Notamacropus eugenii: one gene and its partners. The protein of the gene in region 3 purifies or fractionates together with the protein of the main gene of each other region. This does not show direct contact. Links are inferred from orthologs where the notes say so. Each region holds a gene or a part of one and is shown on either strand. Other genes may lie near its edges. The genes, in order: tubulin alpha-1C chain, tubulin alpha-1A chain and TXNDC9.

Region 1 (10,199 bases), on a different chromosome or scaffold from region 3:
CATGTCCAGCACTTGATTTTCTTGGAAACAGTGCTTTCAGCCACATTTTGGGGCAATTATCCTTCACAAGTTGCTGACTTCTCAAAGGAGTTCTCTAGACAATCTATAGGCACTTCATTTGGTAGAATACTGACTTGTATATCAAAAGACACAAGGAAGTCCAGGGACTATCTATGCCCTCATCTAAAGGCTAGTGTAGCCACCCAGCGACACTATATAAAATGAAGACACTGGCTTTCTAGACCACAGGTTTACAGTCCTCTATCTGTGTCTTCAGATTTGCTCTTGAAGACTTGCAGTTTAGTTTATATGTTGAGTGAGAGAGGTATTAACTTAGTTCTGCTTGAGCAAAATCAGAGCGCGCGGTGCGCGCACACACACACTAATTCAAGAAGGAAAAGGTCCTCTGAATCTGAAAAGGACTGGGAGAGGACCCCCAGTCTTACTGACAGAAACATAAAGCCTACATAATTAATGACTTCTAAAGTCCTCTAAAGTTTTAGCAGCTATCAGTCAGTAAATGCTTACAATGGCAATAGCCATTTTTCCAAATGATTAAATGCTGTCTCAACTTTAACATTTACAGCTCCTAAGTTTTAACGTTAAGTGCTGGTACAATCAATTATATTCAGGTGACATATTACACAACTTAATTACCTCCTCTGTTTCGCTAAGGAGAACATGTTATTCATGCATATATAAGACAGCACATTAATAGAATTTCCATCTGATTCCCTGAATTAGATTTAAATTTTATTAGATTAATTTTATTAATTCAGAGCTTAAGAGTATTACCCTATGCTATGGTATCACCCTACTATTAAATGACTCACAAGTTTCCGAATTCTGTCCAGAACAATGTCAATTATTTCTTTGCCAATAGTATAGTGTCCACGGGCATAGTTATTGGCAGCATCTTCCTTGCCGGTGATCAGCTGCTCAGGATGGAAGAGCTGGCGGTAGGTTCCAGTTCGAACTTCATCTGGAGGAATAAAAAAGCAGCCCTGCTTTAACAGTGTGGTAACTCCGACTAAGAACCAAGGGTACTAAAAACAAAAAAACCTCAAAAAAACAAACCATCACTAGGAATGTTCACCTTCATCTGCATGTCTGCAAATGTAAATTGAACTCACCAATAACAGTTGGTTCCAGGTCGACAAACACAGCACGGGGAACATGCTTGCCAGCTCCAGTTTCACTAAAGAAGGTGTTGAAAGAGTCATCTCCACCCCCAATGGTCTTGTCACTTGGCATCTGCCCATCAGGCTGGATACCATGTTCCAGGCAGTACAGCTCCCAACAGGCATTGCCAATCTGGACACCAGCCTGGCCAACGTGGATAGAGATGCACTCACGCTGCAGAAAACCAAGAATACAAATGAGCCAGGTGGAACAGATAGCTAATGTATTCATATCTACATAAGTAATGAATTAAGTTACAGCACAACCACTCCATAGGACATACCTACCTTACCTGAAGTTTAAGTGCACTACAAACCAAATTCAGAGATAATTCTTTTGGGGAAACATATGAGAATTCATGACCTAAGAAATCTAGGGACAAACATGGGTTGAATCAAAGTCAGGAACCTGCCAGCCATTTTAGAATATCCCCAAAGCTCTATTCAAAACTATTTTCCTTCTATTCTAGGGAAATGAGTAAGGCGTCATTCCTAAACTGCTTAAAAAAAATCCCTCCCCTTTTCAGTTTGTATTCGTGCTTTTTGTGTGATTATGTAACTTCAGTTTCAGATCATTCTGGGTTCACTTTAATCCTATTCTTTAAACCCCAGAGCTTCTCTCCCCTCCTCCTTTAAAAACCAGCTTAAACCAGCAGCAAGCTAGAACCACATGACTCAAAGAAACTGCCAGATAAGCAGACTAGCTATATTTTAAAATCTGGTCAGAGGCAGCTTTTTTAACCTTGTAGAAGACTTCATCTATGGTCACTGCAGCATTTACTTTGGCTCTGCCAACTTATGGAAAAGAATTTTCTTTTTTTTTGCTTTCCTATTTTCAATAGAAGAATCCACTCTGCCCCCCAAAAATATTTCTGGAAAGTCTACAGCAGGCAGGCCTTGGTTCACAGGGCACTGACTATCACCGACTTCCCCAGGAAAATAAACATATCTAGCTCTCGGAAAAAAAAAATTCTTTTGAAAAGTATTTAGAAAAACATTTCCTATTACACATTTATACAAGTAGTGGTATGGCGTAAATTAGAGTCTTTATCAAAATGATTTTTAGTCCAACTCTACAGGGGATACTTCATTATAAACTAGATTATCTAAGGATCTGGCACTGTACTTTCCCCAAACTCTCTTACACAATAAAAGCTCCTCTTCCAAGGTTTTTTAATGGAATGTTCAAAATTCTCAAGAGTGAATAGAAAAAAATTAAATTCTAAGTTATTACAGGTTGTGTATCCTAACTTCTAACTAGGAATTTAAACACCCTTATCATTTGTAACCTTTGCTTTATGATCATTTCTTCCCAGCTAGCAATCTAACATTATTCATAAAACCATAGTTATCTGACCATGTCAAGGCCCCAAATTACCTGTACCCACTTGCCCAGCTGTAGGCGGTGTGACTGTTTGTTCTAATGAGCTCATGACTATTTACTGGTGCATGATGGTAACTTAACTGGACTTTGGAAAAATCATACAGCTCATGACATGCTAGTTAGAAGATCTAAGATAAATGAGGGCATTGGATTACATTAGCAGGCAAAAAAAACTAAGGATCATAGAATCAGAATACACACAACTGTATGCAGACAGTGTGAGCAACCCTTTCACAGCTTCACCTATGATGAAATTGAAGCTTAGAGAAGTTAAATGATTCATCCAATATCCTTACTAGTTAGTTGCAGGGCCTAGACTGGAACCTTGGCCTCCTGATTCATAAATAATTATAACATTCTCTTCTCCGGCAAACCTTTATTTACCTTTTCAAGTGAGCCTATCTACTATCTGATCTCATAATCACAAAAACTGACTATGTCTGTGATGATTCCCTCCCTCTCAATAAGGTTATTACTCAGTATAAATTATAAATTATGAAAGAAAGTAAGCCTCCTTGGGAAATTTCCTCACACATCTTGTCTGCTAAACTCCTGGGAAAGCTGACAAGGTCAAAAAGACTCACCTTCCCATGACTACCTGGGGGGAGGGTGATTGGTTATTAAAAGTTAGGTCACATGATAAGCCTATCCTTACCAGTAAGACAGTCATTTCCCTAATAAAACCAAGGCCAGGCCTGTTTTTTATAGCAGTACCCTATATTCTTTAACATACAACATGTTAAAATTAGAGACCACACTCCTTTCATTCCTACTTATTCTCAGAAACGCTATTTTGATACAAGTTAAAAAAGTGGTCTCTTTGGGGGATTAGTTTTCTCTATACTGCTCTGGATAATATTTAAAGATTCATTCCAACAACCCAAGTTGTTCAACCACTAAGCTTTAACGTGATTTTCCTTTGGAAAAGCAATAGTATAGTTCAAACGTTTGAAAAATGGGATGTTATCGCTGTAATCGGCTACTTAATGGCCTTACAAGAAAACACCCTTTAAGAATCTTCTTCAAGTACTTGTTTCCACTCCACATGTTTCGAACAGGTGAGAAAAGTAGGATTAAACACGTTAACACTAGTTATCTGTCTAGGGCACAAGCTCCGTCATGGATGTGTGACCACATTTCCCCCGTCTACTCTGCCTAAGCCATGGGAAACATTGTTACCCCGAACTTCGCTACTTCCTTCAGTAAAAGTGACTCAGCACCAAGTCACAGGGAAATAGACCTAGGGAGTCGGGGAGGGGCTCAACACTTCAGAGCGCATTCTGCCTCCCAAGACCACAAGCAGCAATCTTTATCTTCAATTTGGCTCATTTGGTTGCTACAGAAAGACCAGCTTATTCTGATCGTGGGGGATGGGAAGAGAAAAAGAGAAATGCAAAGTATTTTAAGCTTTTTAAAGTCGATCTCAGAAGAGTGTGAAACATCTTACGAATCAGACGGACCATCCCCTTTACTAAACCTAATTTTAAAACTTGTCCTTCAGACTTTGGGGCAAGTTTTCTCTGACAAATCGATCCCCCCTTGTCACTGTGGGCACTTCCACTTCCAAGTACGGAAGCTGTTTATAATTCTGGTCCCTAGAAGATAAAGTTAGGGAGAACCAGTGGCTTCATTTCCGAACGGCCCAAAGCACGGAGCTTTACGCTCTCCATCCCCAGGACGCACTCAAAGCACTATAGGAGCGCAGCCCAGGAGGCAGACGGCCAACGCGGGAGATCTTCCCCCAAGCGTTCCAAGGGGCCAAGGTGCCACGTGCGCCCCCATCCCGCCAAGTCCCAGGGCCCCTCTGGTCACTCTACTCCCTCGTAAACGTGGCCAACGCCGGCTCCTAGCCCCTCTCCTGGTCACATGACCCTAAGTGTCCCGGCCCTCAGCTCCCGCGCTCTCCACCAGCACCTGGAGCAGCCGGCTGGCTGGGGCCCCATACACTCACCATGATAAAGGTGTGCAGGGGTCCGCTGCGCTAAGAAGAAATGGAAAGGAGGACGACACAAGTTTCTCACCGACCGACCGTTAGGAAGTCTCCGGGAGAAAAGTTAGTGAGAAGCGGGGCTCACGGGAGGGGCTTTATATAGCCCTTCCTGGACCACGTGTTTGGAGGGAGTCCCTAGGACCTGATCCCACCCCCTCCTTCCTTTCTCTAGCTTCTCTTCCACCCTCCCCGCCCTGCTTCCATCCCAAACTCCACCCCGTCCGGTGCCTGCCACCCCACCCTCCTCTCGGACTCTCATTGGTGAGTTCGAAAGTTCAAACCAAACCTTTTTGGAAGAAACCTGAGGTGTGGGGGAGGGAAGGAGGAAGTTTGTTTAACCCCGATGATCCTTGAGTGGGGGGAAAGTTTGGGGTGAAGAGAGTGGTTTATCTGGGGAGTTGGGAAGAGAGGGGGAAAGAACAGCATCAAGTGGTTGAAAAAGAACGGGGGCTGGGAGTGAGTAGGTGAGATAATTTGGGGGGAAAAGAGCCATACGTTTTAAAATTTTAAAAAAGGAAGTAAGCCAAACGATGAGAGAGTGTGGTGAATGAAGGTGGGGAGAAGGGGAGCCATGTGGTACTGGAAACAGCTGGAGGAAAAAAAAGCCCCTCTCCTCTCCATCCATCACCTTTCCCTTCCTCCCTGCTTCTGGCCTCCACTGACTCACTGCTCGGCCCACTCCCTTGGCTCCGAGCCAGTGAACATTTTCCTAACTCCCTACAAGGTAATCTCTGAGAGCCGCCCTGCCAGCTAGGGGAAGGTTTCCCAGTGACTAGTTTATTCAGAAAACACAGCCCTGCAGATGGTCTGGCTGCTTTGACTTTTCATTCAGAGCCGGCTCTGTGTGCTGGACTAAAAAGGGAAGCTGCCTTGTTTACTTCCCTGTATGAAGTGGACTAGTACAGTAGAGGCCCTTAGTAGGACCCAGCCATTGTAGCTGCGAACTTGGCTGCTGCAGGATCCTTACTTGGAGTTGTAAGTTTCTCTGCTGCTTTGTTAAGCAAAGAGCAAAGCTGTTTAGAGAAACCATTTGGTACAAAAAGCTTAAACAGGGCCTTTCGGCTCTATTTTCAGAAGTCTCATTTCTACAATTGTCAGATGAGGAGGTAGGTAGTTTAAAGATTCCAAGTTCACACCTTTCTGACAGCTCTTCCAATTCCTTATTTTTAAAAAAGCCCCTTTTGTAACACAAAGCATTGTATCATCACGTTCCAGAAGATGCTAAAACCTCTTGCTGGTGCTCCCACGCAAACAATTTCTTTTTTATTTCTTTAAATGTTTTGTGTATCAGAATTCTCTTTTCTTTCTTTACCCCACCAGTTTTCTTTCTCTTGGGAGATTTTTTTTTTTAAACTCATAAATGAATTCCTTAAATGTGAGAAGTGTCTAGCTGTAGAAAAAATGCAGTGCACAGAAAAGTGTTTTGTGTTTTTGCAGAGTAGTTAACAGAATTTTAGAGATGGAAGCAATCAGAGAGAATGAAGGCCTGGTTGATCTCTCAAATCCCTTCCAACCATAATATCCTATAATTTTTCCAATCACCTAGTGCAACCCCCTCATTTTACAGGCAAAGAGACAGGTTCAAAGAGTGCAAACTATTTCTACTTAAGTGGCAATCACTAACCAGTAGGGTTTGGGGTGGGGTTGGTTTTTTTTTTTTGGTTGTTGTTTAGGGAACATTTTCCTAAATGTTTACTTTTCAAAAATGTTTACCTTTGCTAAATTTCATTTTCTTAAATGCTTGCCTTTTTTTAGACAGGTAAAATGAAATAGAAAAGGTATCAAATAAATCCAGAGAAAAAGTAAAAGTACTTACAATGTAAGATCTCTGGCAGCTAGAATTGTTTTGAGTTTGGTCTTTTCTAGGCTCAGAATGCTTGACATTCTGCCTAGCACATAGTAAATGCTTTAATGCTTGCTGAATTTAACTGAAGTAAAAGTAGATATAAAAAAGGTGAGCAGCATTTAAAATGCTTATGGAATTCATATTAAAATTGTTCCATCTATATACTGTTCCATACTATATACATAATTGAGATCCTTAAATCCAAGTAACACCAAATGCGGTAGACCTTTAACTTAGTTATAGGAAAAATGATAAGAGTTGTCACCATGGAATAGTGGGTAGAAAGCTACCCTGGAAGCCAGGAAGAGTTCCACTTCTGACACCTAATGACCATTTGTAACCTCAGGCGGAGTCACTTAATCTCTCAATGTTCTGGGCAACTCTCTAAGACTGGGTGAATTGTACCTCTCTAAATAGAAGCCCATAGTTAAGCAAAGTAGGTGAATATAGTGGCAGTTTGAGAATGTACATCTCTAGTTCATCATTTCTTTGTCAAGGAATAAGAGGCATATATTAATTATACATATTAACATTGTATGTATGTATATAACATATATGAGTTATAAATTATATATATTAACATATAATTATATATATTAACATCACTGACTTCTTACTAACTTGTACTTCAGTGGAAGAGGGAATTTTCTCACCTGGCAGTTAGTTGATGAGGTAGGTAAGTAGAGTATTAGGCCTGGAGTCAGGAAGACCTGAGTTCAAATTCTACCTGTGTGACCCTGGGCAAGTCACTTAACCTCTATCTATCTTCGTTTCCTCAACTGTAAAATGAGGATACTAATAGGACCTACTTCCCAAGGTTGTTTTGTGGATCAAATGAAATGTTTCCTTTCTTATGCTTATGAACTTGAAGATTCAGTCCCTATTCTTATAGGTCAAATAGATTTACAGTTATATTTTATAGCAATTCTTCCTTTTGGGTTTTCATTCTAAAAACATTTCTGTTTGTTTCTGTGTTAAGTTTTGTACATACCTGATGGGAAGGCAGCTTTCAAGATTTTGGATGCTAAAAGTTTTATTAAAGCAAAAATAACTAGTAATTAGTTACTAGTTATTATTAGTTATAGTAATAACTAGTAACCATATTTAAACTTGCTGCCTCCTACTGGAAGTTGTGACTATTGTTTCTTTTCTCTTTTATTTAAAATTTTATTTTTTATTGTGAACTTAATCATCAACAAATATAAACATTTCAACATACAAGAGACAAGAAAGTCTTGGATAAAAAGCTGAATTTCTCTTATGTACAATTTTTAAAAATGATAATATGAGGTAGTAAATATAATTGGTCTATTTATGTCTCTGTACTTCTTTTCTTCTGTGCATTTAAAAATATCTTATTGATGTTCTTTGTTTTCCATATCTATCTTTATGAACTAATTTACCGTATCTTACTTCTCCAAGTAGAAACCTGTAGTCAAGCAAAATAAATGACCATATTGCTCATGTCTGGGAATCCACATCTGATTCTATACTTCTTATCCATCACCTTTCTGCCAAGAAATATGAGTTTTATCATCAGTGTTTTGAAATTGTCACTGGGCATTACTTTACTTAGAGTTCTGAGATCTTTTAGACTTTCTCCTTGTATTATTATGGTCATCAAGTAAGTTGTTCTCTTGGTTTTGCTAATTTCACCATGCATCCCTTCACGTTAGTTTTTTTAATTTGTTAGAATCCTTAGAACCCATCACATTAAATTTTTGTGGTGTAGTTTTGTACCATGCTATATTAATATACCACATTTTTTTCATACCTTCCCTAAATGATGGGCATGTGTTCTGTTTTTGGTTCATTGCTAGAGCAAAAAGTGTTGCAGTAAGCATTCTTGAACACACGAGTCTTTTCCTCTGTACATATTTGGCCTCCTTAGGTGATATATCCAAAAGTGGTATTTCTGGATCAGAGGGTATATACAGTTTAGTGACTTTGGGGACATAATTCCAACTTACCTTCCAGAATGATTGAACCAATTTGCAGCTCTATTAACAGTACAAAATTTGTCTTTCCTTCCACAAATCCTCCCAAAATAGCAATTTTCTATTCTCCTTATCTTTGCCAACTTGGTAGGTGTGCGGTAAAACCTCAGAGTTATTTTAATTTACTTTTCTGTTATTAGAGATTTGGAACATTTTCATATAGTTAAGATAGTCTTCCATTCACTTGAATACATGCTGATTTATCCAAGACTATGCATTTCCTTTGCTTACTAATCTACTTGGGAAAAGCTTTTATTCTTATGTATTTTTATCAGTCATTTTTTAATCTTGGATGTTAGACCTTTATCAGAAAAATTTGTTGGAGTGATATTTTCCTGCGTGTTTTCCTTCTTATCTTTATTACACTGTTATTTTACTTGTGTAAATGTTTTCAGTTTTATGTTATCATAATTGTCTATTTTATTTTTTATCAATACTTTTATCCTCTTGTTTGTGTAAGAATTCTCCCCTTGATTATAGTTGGGAAAAGTATTCCTTCCTTTCTCTAAAAAAGAATTGATATGACCTCACATAACCTAGGAAATGAGGAAATAATGGAGGATAATGTCAAGGAACTGTGATATGAGGAGGGTGGCAAATGGTCTTGATTTTTTTTCAATAAAATATCTCTGGAAAACTACTTGTTGATGTCCCCTAAGACTTTGCCCTAGGCCCTCTTCTCTTTTTCCTTCATGCTATCTCTCTTTGACCTTATCAGCTCTCATGGGGTCAGCTATCATGTATGTAGATGATTCCCACGTTTATATGTTCAGCATTAGTCTCTCTCCTGAGCTCCTATCTAGTTTTTTGAATTGGTTGTTGTAAAGGTATCTTACATTTAACATGTCCAGAACAGAAATTATTTTCATTCTCCCCTAAAACCTGGAGTTATTTGAACTTCCTGATTATCATCTAAGGTACCACCATTCTTCTGCTGTCTCCTAGCTCATAACCTGGCATCATTCTTCCTCCTACTTAATACTATTTTTTTCCCCAATTACATGTAAAGATAGTTTTCTACATTCACTTTTATAAGATTTTGAGTTCCATTTTTTCTCCCTCTTTCCTTTCCCTTCCCCCTTCCTTTCCCCTCTCCCTTCCCCAAGATGGCAAGCAATCTGATATAGGTATATGTATAATATTAAACAAAATATTAAACTTATTTCCACATTAGCCATGTTGTGCAAGAAGAATCAGAACAAAAGGGGAAAACCACAAGAAAGAAAAAAATAATATGCTTTGATCTGCATTTAGACTTCATGGTTCTTTCACTGAATGTAGACAGCATTTTTCATCATGAGTCTTTTAGAATTGTCTTAGATCATTGTATTGGTGGGAAGTTTATCAAAGTTGGTCATTGCACAGTGTTGCTGTTACTGTGTACAGTGTTCTCCTGGTTCTGCTCACTTCACTCAGCATCAGTTCATTTAAGTCTTTCCAGGTTTTTCTGAAGTCTTCCTGTTCATCCCTTCTTATAGCACAATAGTATTCCATGACATTCATATACCACAACTTGTTCAGTCATTCCCCAATTGATGGGCATCCCCTCAATTTCCAGTTCTTGACCTCCCTGACATCATTCTTAACTTCTCGCTCAGACTCACTCTACAGGTACAATTTGTTGTCAAATCTTGTCATTTATACTTGCACAGCATTTCTTCATATGACTGGCATCTTTTTTCCACTCATACAACCACTACTATAATTTAGGGCCTCGTTGCTTTTTGCCTAGTCTTATTGCAATAACTTTCTAATTGGTCTCCCTGTCTCAAGCCTTTTTCTACTCCAATTCACCTTCTAT
Region 2 (9,702 bases), on a different chromosome or scaffold from region 3:
TGGGAGGCTGGTAATTGATGCCAACCTTGAAACCAGTTGGGCACCAATCCACAAATTGGATGGTACGTTTTGTCTTGATGGTGGCAATGGCAGCATTGACATCTTTGGGAACCACATCACCACGGTAGAGCAGGCAACAAGCCATGTATTTACCGTGGCGAGGGTCACATTTCACCATCTGGTTGGCAGGCTCAAAGCAAGCATTGGTGATCTCTGCTACAGAAAGTTGCTCATGGTAGGCTTTCTCAGCAGAGATGACTGGGGCATATGTGGCCAGAGGGAAATGGATACGGGGATAGGGCACCAGGTTGGTCTGGAACTCTGTCAGATCAACATTCAGGGCACCATCAAATCGGAGAGAGGCAGTGATGGAGGACACAATTTGACCTATCAGCCTATTCAGATTAGTATAGGTTGGGCGTTCAATGTCAAGGTTTCTGCGACAGATATCATAGATGGCCTCATTGTCTACCATGAAGGCACAATCAGAGTGCTCCAGGGTGGTGTGAGTGGTCAGAATGGAGTTGTAGGGTTCCACTACAGCTGTGGAAACCTGAGGGGCTGGGTAAATGGAGAACTCCAGTTTGGACTTCTTGCCATAGTCAACGGACAGACGTTCCATCAGCAGAGAGGTGAAACCAGAGCCAGTCCCACCACCAAAGCTGTGGAAAACCAAGAAGCCTTGAAGACCTGTGCACTGATCAGCCTGTTAGAAAGGAAACAAAGAAACAGATCATTGATGCTTGTTATGTTGTAAACATAAGAAGGCATTTTAATGGACTATGTCTACTCCTTTGGAGGGACAGATCTGATTCTAAAAATGTTTATTTTTCTGTTATTTATCTCTATTGGGGATCAGGGTGCTTAGATAGGTAATTTCCTTGATGTGGGGAACTCACATGGTCTTAATTTCCCCTGGTACTTCTCTTTGGCTGTATTTACTTAGCATTTTTCTCAATTGAAAAACTTTTAATTTTTATAAAATGATAATGGTAATTCAATCTATTTCTCCCCTTTGTGTCTATAATACTGATAAAAAGAAAACCTAGAGAGTCAATCACCTCATTCTGTTTTATACTTGAGCTTTTTTTAATGTTATGGAGCCACCTCTCTTCTTTCCTCCCCCCCAAAACCATTTTGAGATGAAATATACCAGCTTCCGAATCCTGTCTAGAACCAGGTCGATGATTTCCTTGCCAATAGTGTAGTGCCCACGGGCATAGTTATTGGCAGCATCTTCCTTGCCAGTGATCAGTTGCTCAGGATGGAAGAGCTGGCGGTAGGTTCCAGTGCGAACTTCATCTGAAAGACAGAAAGAAAGAAAATTAAAAAGGTGTAAAATCACCAAGGTAAGAGTCTTTCTGTCTTCTCTTACTAACTGCTAAGGTAAAGACAAATGGTCAACAATCAAAAGGAGATATTTGTTACATTTTAAAAGTTTTCCTCAAGATTTTACATGGTCAGAAACTGAAAAGAAGCCTATAAATAGTCTCATCTCAGACAAATGGAATTACACAAAATAAAAGTTTAATTTTAGGATTGGTTCATTATAAATTGACACTGACAGTTTCAAATTTCAAGAGGATTTAGGGAATTGTAATTAAACATACCAATGACAGTAGGTTCCAGATCTACAAACACTGCTCTGGGGACATGTTTGCCAGCTCCTGTTTCACTGAAGAAGGTGTTGAAGGAGTCATCTCCTCCCCCAATGGTCTTGTCACTTGGCATCTGACCATCAGGCTGGATACCATGTTCCAAGCAGTACAGCTCCCAGCAAGCATTGCCAATCTGGACACCAGCTTGGCCAACATGGATAGAGATGCACTCACGCTGCATAAAAACAAAAAAAAAATTAGAAGAAATTGTAAAATTAGACTTGATTAAGATATATAACTTTTCTGTTATTTTTATAAAAATATATTTCTATTCTTCAAGTTCACCTGTGAAATTGACATTTATTATATACATATTAGAAAGCAATCTGCTATAAGGGTTATAGTTGGGCGTGGCCTGAACAATGCTTTGTGTTGGCTGCAGCAGCACATTGTCCAAATCTATTGTTCATACTGTGAATAAATCATATAAAAATAATAATTTGTGGAAATGTTAGAAATATTTTCTTAGAGAATAAACACAAGTCAAAGGTTTATGGATTTCAGTTTAATTGTGGATTACATGATAATTGGTCTACCACACTTTATTTTTCTTAAGTGAAATATTTTCCCAAGATCTAAGAAAGCTTAGTTTCCACCCTACCCCTTTCTCCTTAAGAGCAGGACCCCCATTTTAGCAGGATTTTGATATTTCAATATAGCCATCTGCTTTATTGCTGAAAAGGGGAGACCACACCCAATCTGGGAGCACTCGACCCAATCAGAGCTAAAATCAATAAAAGCTAGCTGTCCCTTTGCTGCATTGCTGCATTTTTTCTGCCTAGTGTCTGCTTTGCACCTACTGTATTATTTAACATAGCCATCTCTAATTCCAGCAACTGGCTGCATGATCTCATTATATTATTTTGCCAGTTCTCTTCTGACTCCTTCTGGGACCCTGTGTGTGAATAATTGAAATGAATCAATGAAGTGACACCAGAACAAAAGGTGGTCTCCATATTATATGCCAGAAAAGAGGAAACTAGAAAGATGTAATTCTTCTTTGTCGACCTCAGTATTTTATTGTTTTGTCTTTAATTTTCTCCATGTAATATTTTCCAAACATTTCTCTGCAAGTGCTTAGAAAAAGACAGCCTTTCAAAATCAGAATTCCTGAATCCTTCCCAAACTGAAACAACATCAAAAGAACAAAAAAAAAGCCTAACAACCCACCAAGATCTCACAAGGTTTGGTTTGTTTCAAATTTCTGGTGCATTTCAATATATCCTGCCTTCTGTGGAATATTCTGATCACATCCACTAGAGAGTTCTCTTTGTCTCGATCTTCTTTAGGGCACCCATTCTACTGTCTATTCACTGACTTGATTTCTTGCTGGGGTGGAAGAGGAGACAGGACAGCTCCCCAGGGTCCTGAAAGGACCGCACTTTACCCTGACTTGAAAAATGAGCATCTTGTTCACTCTGGGTGAGTTGTCAAGGCAGTAAACCCTTGGGGTTTGCCAGGCTGAACTGAGATTATCTCCCCAGACCTTTCGCAACTTTTTTTATTTTTTATCTTTGGGTGGGGAGGAGAAAATCCACAATCCTCTCAGCCATTCAAAAAGCCTACTTTTATGTGATTGTTAATCAAATTTATTAAAAGACATTTTTCCCCCTTACAAATAATAATAATAAAGATTTCCTGCTCAAGAGCATAGCGATTCCAAGGAGATAGACACACACACAAAACCCGACGAGACTCCGCCCTCTACTCCACCCTTACTCCCCCTACCAAAAGTACTAACAGAAACTAGCACTTTACGGGGGAAATGTGTATTTTTTTTTACGTGACATATTCTCATTTTTATTGGTTTGGTTTTTATAAACCCTGTTCTTTGCTTAGTCTCTCCAATGACCCAGTCCCTATCCCCCGCACCCCACCCCACTCCCGCCCCACCCAACACTGCAGTCAAAGGGGAGGGGGATGGGAGCAGCCAGACTGAAAGTAACACGAACACATAAATATACATGAGGCAGTGGAACTATCGCCGGTTCCCAGCCTCAGGACATTGCATCATCCCAGACAGATGGCCTGCAGTGACCAGCCCTATGCGGCACTGAAATGTCGCTAACCATTACTCCCAAACCCCTCCCTTCTCCTTTGTTCTTCCTTCTGGTTTTTCGGCCGCCTGCCCCCAATTCTGGTCCGCACCGCCATGTCTGCGTACTAAGGCTTAAGAGCAAGAAATCTGATACAGGCACAAACAAAGCAGCTGTCCTAAGAAGCTGCAAAGAAAATGGACTTGAGGTTCGCAAGCAGCACCACCAACAACCTTCACTGCGCTAATATCCCCTAGGGAGGACATAAGAAAGGAGATCGGGAACCTTACCATGATTGCTGCTTTGCGGCTGCTGTCGATGGGTGAGAAGAAGAAGAGAGGTTGACGCTTCTTACAGCGCGACTCTTAGGCGGTCGATGTAAGAGAACCTACTGCACATGGTCCAATACAGCTCCCTATATACAATTCTGTCACCATGGGGATGGGCTAGGGCTTTTTCCAGTTGGTCCAGACCCCTCAATCTGCCCGGAGAAGCCAAGACCAGAGAATTGTGATTGGTGCACACGACATGGGATGAGGTAATCTCTTCCCCACCCCTTTTTCTCTAGCATCCATAGACTGTTTGCATCCTTCAGACAAAGAGACCAAGCAAAGCAGTTAGCCAAGCAAGCATCCATCATAGGGAGTGGCAGGAGAGGGGTGGGGGTGGAAGAAGGGGAAAAAAAGAAAACTGTGGTTGGATGAGTTTATACTGATTAAACCACAAAACTACACCTTTGTAGGAGGATTAGTTCTTTACTTAAAAAGCAGAATGTCTGTGTTGAAGTAAAATAATGAACAACCAAAAAAAGTGACCTCAGGCCTCTTTCCCTCTTTTAGGAAATAAACTGCAATAGCCATTAGGTGAGGGTGAAGGTTGAAACCTTTTTGTAAGCTTTAAAAATGAAGTGTGAGAGGAAGTGAAATGAAGCTTGAGAGGACCTGGGGAAAGAAGATTATTTGTTTTTAAGTTGCATCTCTAACTGTAAATTTATTGCAGATTTATTTCCGAACCATTCCAAGGTATTTCTGAGCCTTGTTTTATGACCAAGGAAAATGATGGACAAGCATAAATGGAAAAAGAATTTAATCTAAGAACCAAATAAGAAGTCTCCACAGGAACCTGTACCAAAAAAAAAGTCTTATAAGAGAATGATCTAGGCTTACTGAACATATTTTGAAATGGGAAGAAAAGGGAATAGTTTCTACTTAAGTAGAAAATGTTCCTTTAACAGCACTCTGTTTGAACATATTTTGTATGTTTTATTGCATCTTAAAAGAAATCAACCTTTTCTGATTCACCACTGAAGAAAATAAAATAAAAGAATGATTGGCCATGACATCTCTCCTGTGTGGACAGTTAACGTTTATTCTTCTATTTGCTGGGAAAATAATAGGTACTGGAGAACTGAGACCACCATACAGGACAAGAGGTGGGATGAAAAAAGAATACTTTACCAGACAAGAACGAACAACTTGGAATTTATGTAATCAGTTATCTCAATACACTGAAATTTGTAGCTCCTATGAATTAGCTATGTATGGGGGGGAGGGGTGTTGTGCCTTGGATATGTGTGTTGGCTATTGGTATTATAGGTACATATTGCTTTTGAACAATAGACTCTGAATTGCTCAAAAGCCTCATAAATAACCCAGACAGTCTCTGCTTCTTTTCAGAAATCAGATCGCTGTTCCTTTTTTGGGGAGGCTTTGTAAAAAGGGCATGTTGTCAATATTGCTAATGCAGAATTAATGTTGAAACTAGTACTACTTTGACAATGCAGATGAAAAATAAAAAAGGAAAGAGGTTAGTTATTTTATTCACTTCAACTCACCATACTTTCTTCTTGAGCAGATACTGTTTTTTTTTATTCTGTCAGAGACATATTGGATCTCCAGTCACCATGTACAATGTTCTGCAGACCCCATTCATTCCCCAAGGACTAGGAAGCAGGGTGTGGCATAGAGAGAAGAAAGAAGGGCCAAAAAGAGACAGCTGGTGCAGGTTGTATTCTAAGAAAGGCAACCAGCTATTTTTCTAGTTTGTAGTTCACAGATTTTCTTCATCAGGTCAAATTCTCTACATATAGGAAAACACTACAAGTTTATTTTATCTGTTTCTTTGAGATTCTATAAAAAGAACAACTTCAACATCTAATTTTGGTTTCATTTCTTTGTCTTTAGCTAGGTTTTAGTGAAAAGGCAAGACTGAGGGAAAGCTATAGAATCCCCTATTATCCCAGATATGCAAGTGACAATTAGAATAAAAATTAAAGGATACACATTCGCTGAATTTTTGGCTCAGGTGTTTCTTTGAATAATTCTGAGAGTGACAAATTCCAATGCTATTGAACTACTGCATTGCGTACAGTTCCAGTCTCCTGTCTGGATAAAGGGGCACCGCCCTGAATTTGATTTAGTTATGTGATACAAAAGATTAATGAATAACCATACTATCTTCCCAGTTCTTCGTGCAGTTTACAGGGAACTAAATAAAAAGGAGGGAGAATTCATAGAAATGACTTCTTTGTAAATTTATCTCAGAGCTGTTATATACTTTATGTAAATGAACTTTCTGTTGCGTATTAGTAACAGTAAGATCTAGGTCAAGAAGAGGCTCCATTTGAGTGAGGCTTGTGGCTATTAAATATTTAAATGGTAGAGCAGGGAACTATCTAATCTATTCTATTTGCTTCTCCTCATCACACTTATTCAACGTGCAGATTGTGGCAAAAGAAAAGAAAATATTTGTGTAAATTTATGTAATTTTTGGTGCCAGTTTCCAACTTGCACTAACAGATTTTGTTTTTTGCTTAAGGACAGGCAGTGTCTACTACTACCTATGTAAACTTAGGCTAGTAATTTAAATTCTCTTGGTCTCATTGTCTTTATCTGCAGGTTGAACTGCATCATCTCTGAGGTTCCTTTGTCTAAATTCTATGGTTCATGCTTGTAAGTAGAACAAGTGAAGCAGGAGGGAACCTCTCTCTGTGAGTTTTAACTTGATTTTTATAACAACATTATTAATGATTGAAATATTTTTATTATAATATTACAGTGAGAGGAGAATTGATTATGAGGCCCCTGATTTCCCTCTAGCCTAGCTGATGAAGTTACAGAGTATAAGGTACAAGGAGGCAATAAGGTATTAAGGTCTTAAATGACATCCAAAGAAATATCTCTATTTCATAACCTAGATCTGTGATATAGGCCTATGATCTATAGTTTTAGAACTGTGGATGTACAGAGTACCTTGAAGTTGGGGGGGGTCTCTCGTCCCCCAACCCAGCCAGTGAGTATGAGTTGGAGGGGGTAGCCAAAAGGAGGGTTACATATGACATATGACTAGCAAAGTTGAAAAGATTCCTTCATCAGTCAGGGCATGGAAAAAGAACAATGGAAAAGAACATGGAAAATTGCAATATTCACAAGACATCCACCCCATTTGAGTCACCTTGTATATCTAAAATTACACTAACAATTGGTCGTCTGGTCCTTCCCTGAGCATAGGTATCTGCAAAACATTAGGCACAGGGCTAGGCATAGGTAGTGCTCAATAAGTATTTGATTCCACCATTTTTTTTGCATTGCCATATTCTTGAAGCATAACTTGGTAGTTCTGGTAGGAAACAACTTGGAAACTATTCTATCCCTCAGCAACCCACATGTGACACATAGCTCACTGCCCTCATTCCTGGGGAAGCAGTCCTCAGTCTCCCTGGGAGGGTTCTACAGAGTTTGGCACACAGTAGGTACTTAATAAATGTGAGTCTCTTTCCTTCAAGCTCAATGAAATTAGAGTGGAGCTAGGCATTGGCTGGCAGAATGAATGGCCATGCTCCCTCTCCAACTTTTAAAAATCAAATTACACTAAGAAATGAGTCAAGGTAGGTGTCAACTCTGATGAGTGTGGGCTGTGGCATTTGGAAAGAGAGCAACCATGGAAGAAAGATCTACCTCTTGATAGGAAGGAGAGGATGTCTCTCCCCACTCCCACTGACAAAAATCTCTTACAGCAGAGCTGTTTGCTTAGTAGCACACAGACACACAGCAGGGAATAGGCCCAGAGAACCAAGAACCAAGCAAAGCAACATGCCCTGCAGAAACACCATGCCCAGGGTGGGACAATGTAAGAGTATCATGAGAAAAGGAATGATGTTAGGGTCCTGCAGTATTAGAAGCATGAGTTGTCTTGGTCACATGTATTCTCTGTATGCCTCTCTGTTAAGGTTCTCTTTGTGTGTGCCCACAATATTCCCCCAATTTGGTTTTTTCTCCTTAACAGTATTTTATTTTTTCCAATTACATATAAAGATAGTTTTCAACATTCATTTTTTTATAAAATTTTGAGTTGCAAATTTTTCTCCCTCCCTCTTTCCCAAGATAGTAAGCAATCTGATATAGTTGTACATGTATAATCATGCTTAACATATTTCCATATTAGTCATGTTGTGAAAGAAGAGTCAGAACAGAAAGGAAAAAGCTATGAGAAAGAAAAAACACCTCCCCCCCAAAAAAGTGAAAATAATATGCTTGCATTCAGACTCCAGAGTTCTCTCTAGATGTGGATAGCATTTTCCATCATGAATCTTTTGGAATTGTGTTGGATCATTGTATTGCTGTGAAGAGCTAAGTCTGTCAAAGTTGGTCATCGAAAAATGTTGCTGTTGCTATGTACAATGTTCTGGTTCTGCTCACTTCACTCAGCATCACTTCATATAAGTCTTTCCAGGCCTCTCTGAAGTCTGCCTGCTCACCATTTCTTACGCAACAATACTATTCCATTACATTCATATACCACAACTTGTTCAGCCATTCCCCAAATGATGGGCATCCCTTCAATTTCCAAAATATTTTTGTACATGTGGGTCCTTTTCCCTTTTTTATGATCTCTGTGGGATACAGACCTAGCAGTGGTATTGCTGGGTCAAAGGATATGCATGGTATTATAGCCCTTTGCTATGACCCTGATTTGTGAGGGCAGTGTTTCACAGCTACTGTTTTTACAATGCCATCTCAGTAAATGGCTTTGTTTTAATATTATTGAGTCTCCTGGTTAAGCTTTTTTTAAAATTAAATTATTTTATTTGTTTTTAGTGTTCTACAATCACTTCCATATATCTTAGATTTTTTTCTCTCCCTTCCCCTCTTTTCCCCCTCCCTCCCCACTCCATCCCTGAGATGGCATACAGTTTTATATAGATTCTATACGTACATTCCTATTAAATACATTTTCACATTAGTCATGTTGCATAGAAGAATTAAAATGAATGGGAGAAATCATAAAACAAAACAAAACATAATACAAAAGAAAATGGTCTGCTTCATTCTGTGATCAAATTCCATAGTTCTTTCTCTGGATGTGGAAGGCATTTTGCCTCAAGAATCCATTGGGAAGTTTTTAAGTCCTTGCATTGCAATGAAGTACTAAATCTACCAGAAAAATCCCTTGCATACTGTGGTTGTTTGCTGGTTAAACTTTTAAAGGTAAAGATAATACCATGTGGATGCACAGAGTACCTTGAACCTGGGGTAGTAACTTGAACCAATGAGTATTAGTTGGTCAGAATAGCGCAGAAGGGGTGTTGCATACTTTTAAAGCATTTATTAAGCACCACAGATATCCAGCACTATTCTAGGCACACTAGAGAATAAAAAAGTAAAAGACATGATTGAGAAATTTGTAATGTATTTGAAAAAGCAAGACAGAGCTATAGATGTAACCATAAAATATTGAGATCGATTTTCTTGTGTGACTTAGGGAATCACACTTACTAGTTTATAGTCATATTTTGTATTTTAAAAACTCCAATATCCAGCTACATAATAATTCTAATAAATGAAACAAGAAGCATGATATGAAGATTAGAGAGATCTCCCTGCATTTCTCCCACCTCAAAAGTTCCTCTAATTGCAAGGTACAAAATCTTCCTCATCCCCAGAGCTACAACATATTGATTTAAATTCAAGGCATAAATTATTGGTCTTGGATCTTTTCTAAGAACATAT
Region 3 (10,092 bases):
AACCCATAGAATTTTAAGGAACATTCAGTGGGTCTTTTAGTTCTACAACACTGATTGTAGATTGCCTAAATTAAAGTATATCTGAGTTCAGCTCTTTCACTTTCCAACACACATTTTACCTACACTCACACCTACCTCCTAGAAGACAGAGATGCTGACAGCTATCCATCACGCTGCTTACCTCTCAACCTCTTCTTGAGGACCTGATTTGTTTTTACACTTTTTAGGTATATATGATAACTTTTCTTTCAGACAAACCTTATACTGGGAATAACTGAAAATTTTTCCTGTACAGCTCTCAAACTCCTTTCATTTAAAAACACCCTGGCTAAACAGTTTCAGTAATTCACACTCCCATTTTATAGTCTGGCAGGCTAAATTACAATAGGATTAATGCAAGCATGCATGAAATTTAGGTCTTTTGACTCCCAGTTCATTACTCTGCCTAGATTTCACACAAAGTGTTCCCAATCTGGAGACCTCATTAAAATAAAACTGTATTCAGATTATTACACTAATTAAACTAAAAAAACACTAGCTTCATACAAATTTCAAACATTGGCAAAGATATATTAGTTTATCAACCCCTAAAAGTGAGAACCCACAGCAACTACTCCAGTAATGTAAGGTACTCAGACCATACTGTTTAGTAATTTCAGAAACCAGTGCAGCTAGGTTACTTGTTTCTGCTGTTGGGCTTTCTTCAGTGCTTCCAGTCTCTTCTCCTTGAGGCGCTCCAAATCGTCCTCATCCATCTGATCCAGTTTTTGAATCTCAGAGTCCAGCTGCTGTTCCACAACACTGGTTGTCTGAAGCAACTGATTCTCCAGGACTTTTGCAAACATGTCAACAGATGTATGAGCTTCCATTTTTTGGACTATATTGTTCACTTCCTACAACTAGGAAAATAAAAATACACAAATTAATATATGATTAATGTGAAACCATATTTTTTAAGATTCTCTATAATGTCAGCAAGTAACATTGTTTGAACAGCAGACAGCTAACTGACATGGTGATTTTGACTAGTTGTTTCCTTTCTGAGGTCATAAGTATGTACTCATAGAAAGTAAGATGATTAGAAAAAAAAGCTTTTGAGTCAGATTCTTTTCCCATAATAAAACTAAGACACTGTTATTAAGTGTCTTCTATAGATGCAGACTACTGTACTATAGGCTCTGGAGGAAATACTGGGGAAATGTTAAGATAAGACATAGTCTTTCCTCTTACGTTGTTCACAATCTAAGGGCTGAGAGAGCAGAGTTATAAAGTACTGAAATAACTGGGGCCTGTATTTTAAAGTTATTAGAAATGAATTGTCTGAGATATAATAATAGTAATATAAAGATGCATGATTTCATTAAAATGGGCACAACTGCCACCAAAACAAATCTCAACTTCTCTACAACTTAAAAATTACCCTGGCTGAAAAATCCATCACCCTTCAGCCAATCTTGTGATAAAATTTCTGAAATTAGCTAGACCAGTTCAAGGATGACAGACATATAGTATGTTGTTGATATCTGAAAGCTTTCCACCTTGGCAGGGCTCTCCCAGAGCCTGAAATCTCTTTGTCTCTCACCTCTACGTCATGGGGCACTGACAGGAGAAGGTCTTTAGTCAAAGTTTCAATATTTTTTATAAAGGAAAATTCAATTCAATTAACATTTTAACATCTTCTATGTGGTTCTAGGTCCAGGGGTACAAAAAGAAAAAGGAAATAGTTCTTTTATTCATGAAGCTTACGTTCTATTGGCTAATAGAAGTGAAAGAAAAAGAGCTACAGAACAGTTAGTCGAATAAACATTCCCCATGATAATAATCTGCATTATAAGCATTATTGCTTCTGTATATTTTACAATAGAATTCATTACACAACAGAATTCAGCGTGAGATTCACTTTAGGCTCTATGTAAAAGACGATCATTTGCTGAAAGACAAAAAAGGTATCTTTATAATGTGATCTCATAGTAAACATTTTTGGTATTATCTTTGATTCATCCCTCTCCTTCATCCATCATGTCCAATCAGTTGCTAAAGCCTGCCAGTTTCACCTTTCTAATCCTGCTTCTATTTCTTTCTTTCTACTCCCACTGCCACCACAGGTTCTCATTATTTTTTGTTTGGATTATTTTAACATCTTCCTACTTTGTTTTTCCTTGAATTTTATCTATTAATTCTCTTTCTCAGTGATCCTGCAAACTGCTGCAAAGTCATCTTCCTAATGCACAGGTCTGACCATGTTATTCCCCCGTGCCAAAACCTCAGGATCACAGCAGAAGGTCCTCACACTTGGAAGGAGAAAGAAACTTAGGGATGAGTTAGTGATTTAGTCCAGCACTCTCGCTTTGTAGATTAGAAAACTGAAAACCATAAAGGCTGAGTAAGCACAGAGGGAGTCAGTGGCAGAGCCAGGACTCACATTCAGGTTTTCTGAATCCTAGTCCAGTGTGCTTTACACAATGTTGTCCTCATGGCTAAGATTAAAAGAAAGATCCTTAACTCTGACACTCCTTTCAGGCTATTTCCCTTAAGGCAACTTTGTTCCCACCAAATTGTTACTATTTCTTCCATCTCATCTTGCTTTCTCTTCCCTCCATCCCTCCTGCCTGTAAGTATCCACTTTCACTATCTCTGAGAAACACTTCCCTTCCAGGCCCAGACCAGGGGACTATCTCCTCTAGGAAGCTCTTCCTAAGGCCCCCACCCAAGCCTTAGTCTTTGTATTTTCAGTGTCAGGCCCATAGGAAGTACTTAATAAATGTCTGAATTAAACAGTTTCCCTGATTCGGACAAACTGGGGAGGAACAGCTGCTCACAATACAAAACGTTTATAGAGAAATGCGGCCTTTTATCACCTTCAGTATGGCCTAGTTTAGTCCCTGCACAAGCATGGTCTGGGATTTGCAGGTTGGAATTTGTTCGGATTCGGTCACTGGACGGTGAACACAAGACCCGAGGGCTTTACAACCTAGGAACAAAAGCTTTGGGGCGGGTGCTGTTTCCCATCAAAAAAAGGAAAAAGTGTACAGTCCATCACGATCATCTCCAGTTCTGCTTTCCTTCCAGCTTTAATCGCTAATCCCTCTGGCCCATTTGCTTTTGGGGGGGCGGCACAAGGCGAAGGACAGCACGTCCCCAAATAGGCTGAGGGTTTCTTTACTTCCCATCTGTGGGGACGGTCTTGGGGAGCGGACAGGCCCGAGAGCTTTAGAAACAACCACAAAACCTGGGATTCCTCTCCGAGATCTCGCTTCCACCCCCACTCCCTCCCCCGCCGAAGAAGGGAAAAGGGCAGCTGAAGGGAGAGCAAGCGACCCCCTACCCACCAGCACCCGGCTTCAAAGCCATGAAAGACGCATGCGCAGCTCAGTCCGCAATTGCGCACAAGAGACGTCGGCCCCTCCCCCAACAGGCCTAGCCCGCTCTTCTGCCCTTTCCCCACCCCCGCCCCCTCCGCTCCTCGCCTTGCCCTTCGTTCCCTACCGCGTGCTACGGCCGCCCTACTAGTATCGTCTGTTTAGCTTTCTCGCCTCAAGGCCCACCTCACCCGAAATCACGGCGACTGGTGCGGTTCCCTCCCCCTCCCCCGAGAAGTGGCGAGCACTTGGCGGAAGGTCACGGCTACTTCTGGGTCTCCGGCAGCGGCGGCGGCGGGGGTGGGCACCAGCCAGTTACAAACACTAAGCCCTCATTGGCTCTTTTCCACATTCGAGGCGAGCCTACCGCCACCAAAGAAGAGAGGGAGTGAGCGTCGCCGGCGCATGCGCTCTCCCGCTCGTCTGCGCCCCCTCGTCTCCCTTGGGTTTCTGGGTTTCCCAGAAGATAGGCGGAACTGCCTCGGGTGGGTTTGTCTACGGCAAGCGCATAAGCTCAAGGTTCTTGACTCTCTTCCGGGGTGAAGCATTCCAATACGGCTCCTTAGTGTATGAGGTGCGGCGGGAGGAGCAAGGCATTTTGGGAATTGTAGTCGTTTGGGGTTGGGGGTGTTGTCCATTGGCTTTATTGAATCGTTTCGCTATAGTCCTCCGATGAATTTTCTATACTAAACTATATAACAAAGATGAAATGGATCTCCTTGAACATATTTTCTGGTATTATTTTTCCAGATAGGAGTCAGGATTAAAAAAAAAAACCTCAACCTTTTCTCTTTGGGGGACAAGCTCAGTATACGCTTTTTTTATTGAGTAGCTCCATAAATCATGTACCCTTGTGCAGTGTCCAACTTAGATCTCCTCCATAGAAAGGTCGGACGTGGTGCTGACCAGAATGACAGAATTACAGACGTTAAACAGTGGAACGAAGACCAGATGGATCACAGAAGTTCTTCTGTTCCAAGTGATGTAACAACCGTCCGGAAGTTTGCTCTCCAGCGCTGGCTGGACTGACTTGGAAGGATTATGTGAACTTCATCTCAGAACAGTCACAGAAAAGATTTAACAGCTGTGTACGGGGCTTCTGTAGTGGAAGGTACCCAGCTATGTAATCGCTACTCTGCACTTCTGACTCCTACCGGTAGGATGCGCTCTCTTCACCCAGCGATCCTCGCTGGCGTCTGGGGACGCTCTACCTCAAACGTAGAACTCTATGAGACGCCTTGCGTCCCTACGCCAGGGTGGCGGGGGCGCTGCGCCTGCGCTGTGCGAGTTCATACCATATGTGCCCTGTCCCCGTGTTCGGGTCTGTGGTGAGCCGGGTCCGAGAAGCGGCGGCGGAAGAGGAAGGCCGGAGAGCTGGGCCAGCCAGGGGGCTGTGGGTCAGTAAGGGGCTGAACGAAGGTACTGGAGTCGCGAAGGCCATTGTCACGCGATGGGGAAGAAGCAGAAGAACAGGAACGAGGACAGGTAGCGGCGGCGGCGGCTCGGTGGGGGCGCGCGGGGTCTGCGCGGACCGGTCTTGCTCTGAGGAGGGGAAGGAGGTCACGAGACCCCCGCCCACCTGCCGGCTCGCCGGGGAGAGGACGGGGCCCCCCGGGGTCAGCCGGGGTCGGAGGCGGGGGCCGCCGAAGTGAAGCCACCATGTGCTGGGGCGGACTGGCCGGCCGGGCCCGGAGGGGAGGGCCGGATCTTCCCTTTCCCGCCCCGGGGTCAGTCTCCACCCCCAGCCCTTATTTTCTACGGTCCGGGAGTGGGGGTGGGGTGGAGGGAAATGGGGACTTGGGAGCCGGAGGGGCCCCGACCTGCGCGGAGGGTCCCCGGGATTGAGTCCTTGTGGTTGAGGGGGTGTGAGGGAGTGGAGAGGGGCTCGAGGCGATACCTAGGGGCGTGGGGCCCGCTGGTGGGCCGGGGTCAGCCGGGTCACGGAGGCTCCGAGAGAGTGACCATCGGCGTCGGGGAAGGAGGATGCCGGCCTCGGGCGAGCCCTTTCCTTCCTTTCTCCGTCGTAGCTGTACCTCTCTACCGGACCTCTCTGGGCTTGTAGGAAAGAGGGAAATGGGGTTCTCCTCCTCTACCCGCACTTGCATCCTGCTGTCAAGCTTTTAGTGTTTCTCCTGTGAGAGAGCTGGTCACACACACGCTCCTGTGCCTTCGATCGTCCGGTGTAGATACCTCTCAGAGCGAACTTATTCATGGTCTCATTATCCAGCTTGTCACGGTTTTTAGTTTTCCTTCTGGGACCAGCCTTTTTTTTGTGATTTTGTTGCTTATGAAATGCCCCTTCAAAAAGGAGGTAAGAGAAGGACCGAGCAAAGAAATTGTTTCTTGATAACAGCTCCTTTAAGAGTTTAGTTTTTAATGAAGAAAGGTTCTGTCGTTAGTATGAGGTTTTGCTAATGTTTGTACACCACGTGAGAGGAGTCACTGGAGTCTCCGTAGGGACGATTATTTCCTTTTCTTGTAAGTAACATTAGAGTGTCTTTCAGTATGCAGCGAGCCACCATTCATTCCAGGTGTTGGAAAGGAGAGCTCGGTCTTACCTTTCTGCGTCTGTTAATTTTATGGAAGATGCACTGGAAAAATCTTTCCTTGTCATGAAATTCCTCCTCAGCTTGAGGCAGCATGTGGAAAACAGGTTACTTAATGAGACTACTGACTTTCACTCATTGCTGTGTTCAAGATACAAGCTTTGATGTTTTTAGAAAAGTGTTGTAACTTGAAATCAGATATATGGTATTGAAATGGCATGAGGAAATTATGAAGCAACCATGAATATTAATTATTAGAAATCTATATGAATTTGGTTTTCTCTCCCTTAGGGTTTTGAATTCAGGGACTAGAAAGACCACGTGTAGTGATATCAAAGGGATGGCAATCCTGCCTCCTGGTTTCCAGCTCTGAACTGTAAGAGAGTATTTCTTTTAGAGGATAGATTCCACTCTCAAGTCATGAAATACAAAAAAAAGAACAGTATGCAGAATTCTACCGATTTGAAGGGTTAGCAAAAGGACTTTCAGTAATATATACACTGACAAGGTTTGGGATGTGTGCAGCTCTACAGTGAGACAGGCTATATTTACCTATGTCTAATAAGTGCTTCCATGTGATACTTAGGTTAGTTTAAAATACAGAAGTCTGCGTCTCTGACATGTTGTGTAGAAGTTTTCCTTCCTTTCCAGTTGGAAATATCATTTACAAAGGGACCTAATTTCAGTTACCACCATATTAACAATAATGGGAACAGTAAAAGAAACACTAATAATAAAGAAAGGTGGCCATTTATGAAACCAGAACAGAAGAAATGCTACTATGATTAGTGTCTTTTTCTTTTGATTCTCAATATGCTAAACTTTAGTATTATGTTTATCTTTTAATTATTGTTAACAGAAATAACTGGTGGTGGTATGATTAAAGATTTGATGATGATGCAAGTTTGCAGTAGCAAACTTTAGCCACTGATGAGTGTTATTCCCATTGCTTTTTGTGTTTACATGCAGTTTAGTGCTAGAATATGTTTAAATGCTTCACATATGAATGGAATGCAAATTTTGAAAGAAAATTTGGAAGGCCCAGGCTGGTCCCAAAATGAGTTCACTTCTCTGCTTTTTTTCCCTGTAACTTTGTAATCCACAGGATAGATTCCCACTTTAATAATTTCTTCTAAAACATTTAAATCTTAGAAGACCAAATTTCTGGCAGGAGAGAACTGTACTGTACCTGATTAGATACTTATGAGGTCATGTAGATGAAGAAACAGAATATCTCATCTTAAATCCCATCTCTGTTTTTCAGATTTACTCAAAATCCACTCCCAGAAAGGTTAAATTACTTGCCCACCACTATCACACAGGCAGTAAGTAATCAACCTGCTTTCTAAGCCCCTAGAAAGAATATCACATTTTACTCATTCATATTTTGGCAGTGCCCTGAGTAGCTTTTTAGTTCATCCAGGACTCTTTGATGTTGAGCCTATTCAAGTGTAGGATTCTATTTTTTTAATGAGCCGTACAAATCACAAAGTTCAATGTGCCTCATTGTTTAGCTAGATTGTATCTAAATAGGTCATAAAAAGAAACAAAGCAACCTTATCTTTCTGGAATTGTTACATGTTAAGAGTGATTTCTGTTATTTTTACCTTACACATATCCTTCTTATTTTGTTGTACATCTTACATTCTGCAGTCATTCACAGAGCAAAGCTGGCTTTTCTCAGTTTATGTATTCCAGTTGTGCCTTTTCCCACTCTGAATTTCATTTTACTGTAATAATAAAGTAAGTATTCATTACTTAATTACTAGTCATTGATTTTCTTAAGGTTCAGTAGCTTATTTTGTCTTAGAGTATTTCATTTTAAAATTGTGCATCAAAAGTAACATAAAAATGAGTATGGCAGTTACTTACACATAGAAATAATTTAATTTATGCACAGCTAACAAAAATGTTTCATCTAGAAGTCGCTTTACTTTGAAGTGTGGTAAGATAGAGCACAACTTTACCTTTTCTGCTTGACCCTGAATGCTTCCTAGCTAGTTTGGCCTGTCTGTTGACATCTTAGGCGGTGACTAAGTAGAAAGAATGTAGAAAGCTCCAGTTTATCATGTATGGTCAGTCATCAGTTTTGTGTAATCTATAGAGTTGAGCTCATAATTGTATCTTTATTTAACCTATTCTCTATGTAGGTAGTTTGACTCTTACAGGTGCTCTAGTAATGTGCTGTTTGCCATTCTAAGCTTATTCACCCTTGTGAATAAAAAGGAAATCTTTCAAAAGTATTAAATACCCAATGCCAAGCACTGTGCTAAGCACTAGGGATAGAAAGACAAAAAAACCCCTCTCATATCTATTTTTAAAGAACTTACATAATATTTGTGAGAAACAATGTGTACACATGTAACTAAATACAAAGTAAATAAAAAGGCAGAGTAATTTTATTGAGGAGTGCTCACAACTGGGAGGATTAGAAAGGACCTCATATTGGAGGTATCAATTTAGTTTATAAGTTAGGGACTCTTAAGAGTCTGAGGGAAGGAGGAATGCATTCTTGGAATGGAGGTTAGCCTGTGCGGAAAATGGGAATGTATAAAAAACCAGGTTATAGACCAGTCTGTCTGGAACTTAGATTTTTTTTTTTAATTAACTTATTTTTGCTTAACAACTTGCAGTTCCACAAGCTTTTGAGTTTCAAATTTTCTCCTCCTCCTTCCTCTCCCCAAGATGGCATGCAATCTGATATAAGCTGTATGTATACATTCACATTAAACATATTTTCATGTTAGTCATGTTGCAAAGAAGAATTAGAACCAATGGAATGAACCACTAGGAGGAAGAAACAAAACAAAAAGAGAGCAAATAGTATCCTTTAATCTGCATTCAGACCACGTAATTCTTTCTCTGAATGTGGAAAGTATTTTCCATCCTGAGCCTTTTGAAGGTGTCTTACTGAGAAGAGCCAAGTCTGTCAAAGTGGCTGTAGCTGTGTACAGTGTTTTCGTGGTTCTGCTCCCCTCACTCAGCATCAGTTCATATAAGTCTTTCCAGGTTTTTCTGAGGTCAGCCTGCTCATCATTTCTTATAGCACCATAGTATTCCATTACATTCACATACCACAACTTGTTCAGACATTCCCCGATTGATGGGCATCTCCTCAATTTCCAGTTCTTTGCCACCACAAAAAGAGCTGCTATAAATATTTTTGTACATGTGGGTTCTTTTCCAATTTGTACAGTCTCTTTAGGATACAGCCCTCGAAGTGGTATTGCAGGGTCAAAGGGTATGCACATTTTTATAGCCCTTTGGGCATAATTCCAAACTGCTCTCCAAAATGGTTGGATCAATTCACAACTCCACCAGCAATGCTTTAGTGAAACTTAGAGTTTCTGAAAGGGATTAATTTGTAAATAAACCTGAAAAGGGAAGCAAGTGTCAGATTTTTGAGAGATTTAAATACCAAAAAGTAATATGTATTTTATCCTCAAGGAATATGGCATCGCTGAAGTTTTTTAACAGATCTGTTGGCATAGTAATTATGTGTATAATGACTGGATAGGGGAGAACCTTGAGGAGCAACAATTAGGAAGCTCTCTGAGTAGGCCAGATGAAAATTATTGAGAGCCTAAATTAGGGTGGTGGACTGATGGAGAGAAGGGGACAGATGAGCAAATGTTGATGCAGTAGAAGACAGGACTTGTTAACTTATGGGATATGAGGGAGTGAAGGAGAGTGAAAAGTGGAGGTTGTTAACCTGAGTTCTGGCAGGATGGTGGTGCCCTTAACAGAAATAAATCAAGAAAGATGAGGAACTGATAAAAGGTTTGACATAAGAAATTAACCCTAGAATAAGGGTGTGAGGAAACTTGGGAAGACATTTGTGGGACTTGGATCTGTTCCAGTGGTGTATACCAAATTCTGCAAACAGTACCTTTGTTTGCTTCTCAACGTGCATTTAACTCACTGAAGAGAGATATCTATTTGTGGGAATATTATTTTTATCATCCTTATTCAGTTCTCTTTCCATTTTCCATTACTCTGTTCATTCACATCTCCCTCCTTTTTGCCATGTAAATCCATTGTTTGCTTTGGCTGTTTTTTGTGGCCCACCTGACTAGCCCAACCTCATGTGCATTATATCTTAACGACTCTCCTGCTTGCGTTTTCTTCTCTGCTAATAAAATTTGGAGAAGTAAAATCCACACTATTACTACAAAACATTATTAATC

Evidence for each region.
Region 1: the proteins of TXNDC9 (region 3) and tubulin alpha-1C chain purify together in Homo sapiens (co-immunoprecipitation; 3 studies listed by BioGRID and IntAct, counting the BioPlex papers as one, with this or other methods). This does not show direct contact. The link is inferred for Notamacropus eugenii from reciprocal best matches to the Homo sapiens genes TXNDC9 and TUBA1C.
Region 2: the proteins of TXNDC9 (region 3) and tubulin alpha-1A chain purify together in Homo sapiens (affinity purification with mass spectrometry; 3 studies listed by BioGRID and IntAct, counting the BioPlex papers as one, with this or other methods). This does not show direct contact. The link is inferred for Notamacropus eugenii from reciprocal best matches to the Homo sapiens genes TXNDC9 and TUBA1A.

The regions. Positions count from the first base shown.
Region 1 is NC_092874.1:221,230,622-221,240,820, reverse strand, and holds the start of tubulin alpha-1C chain, read right to left. Parts: upstream 4,635-10,199; 5' UTR 4,520-4,634; coding exon 4,517-4,519; intron 1,357-4,516; coding exon 1,134-1,356; intron 983-1,133; coding exon 834-982; intron 1-833. UniProt on the Homo sapiens protein: Tubulin is the major constituent of microtubules, a cylinder consisting of laterally associated linear protofilaments composed of alpha- and beta-tubulin heterodimers.
Region 2 is NC_092874.1:221,084,877-221,094,578, forward strand, and holds the start of tubulin alpha-1A chain, read right to left. Parts: upstream 4,290-9,702; 5' UTR 3,988-4,289; coding exon 3,985-3,987; intron 1,834-3,984; coding exon 1,611-1,833; intron 1,303-1,610; coding exon 1,154-1,302; intron 707-1,153; coding exon 1-706. UniProt on the Homo sapiens protein: Tubulin is the major constituent of microtubules, a cylinder consisting of laterally associated linear protofilaments composed of alpha- and beta-tubulin heterodimers.
Region 3 is NC_092876.1:406,848,293-406,858,384, forward strand, and holds the start of TXNDC9 (thioredoxin domain-containing protein 9), read right to left. Parts: upstream 3,818-10,092; 5' UTR 3,551-3,817; exon of another isoform or gene 3,487-3,550; intron 3,379-3,486; exon of another isoform or gene 2,859-3,378; intron 900-2,858; 5' UTR 870-899; coding exon 681-869; intron 1-680. Other genes in the region: EIF5B (eukaryotic translation initiation factor 5B), read left to right, coding at 5,019-5,086. UniProt on the Homo sapiens protein: Significantly diminishes the chaperonin TCP1 complex ATPase activity, thus negatively impacts protein folding, including that of actin or tubulin.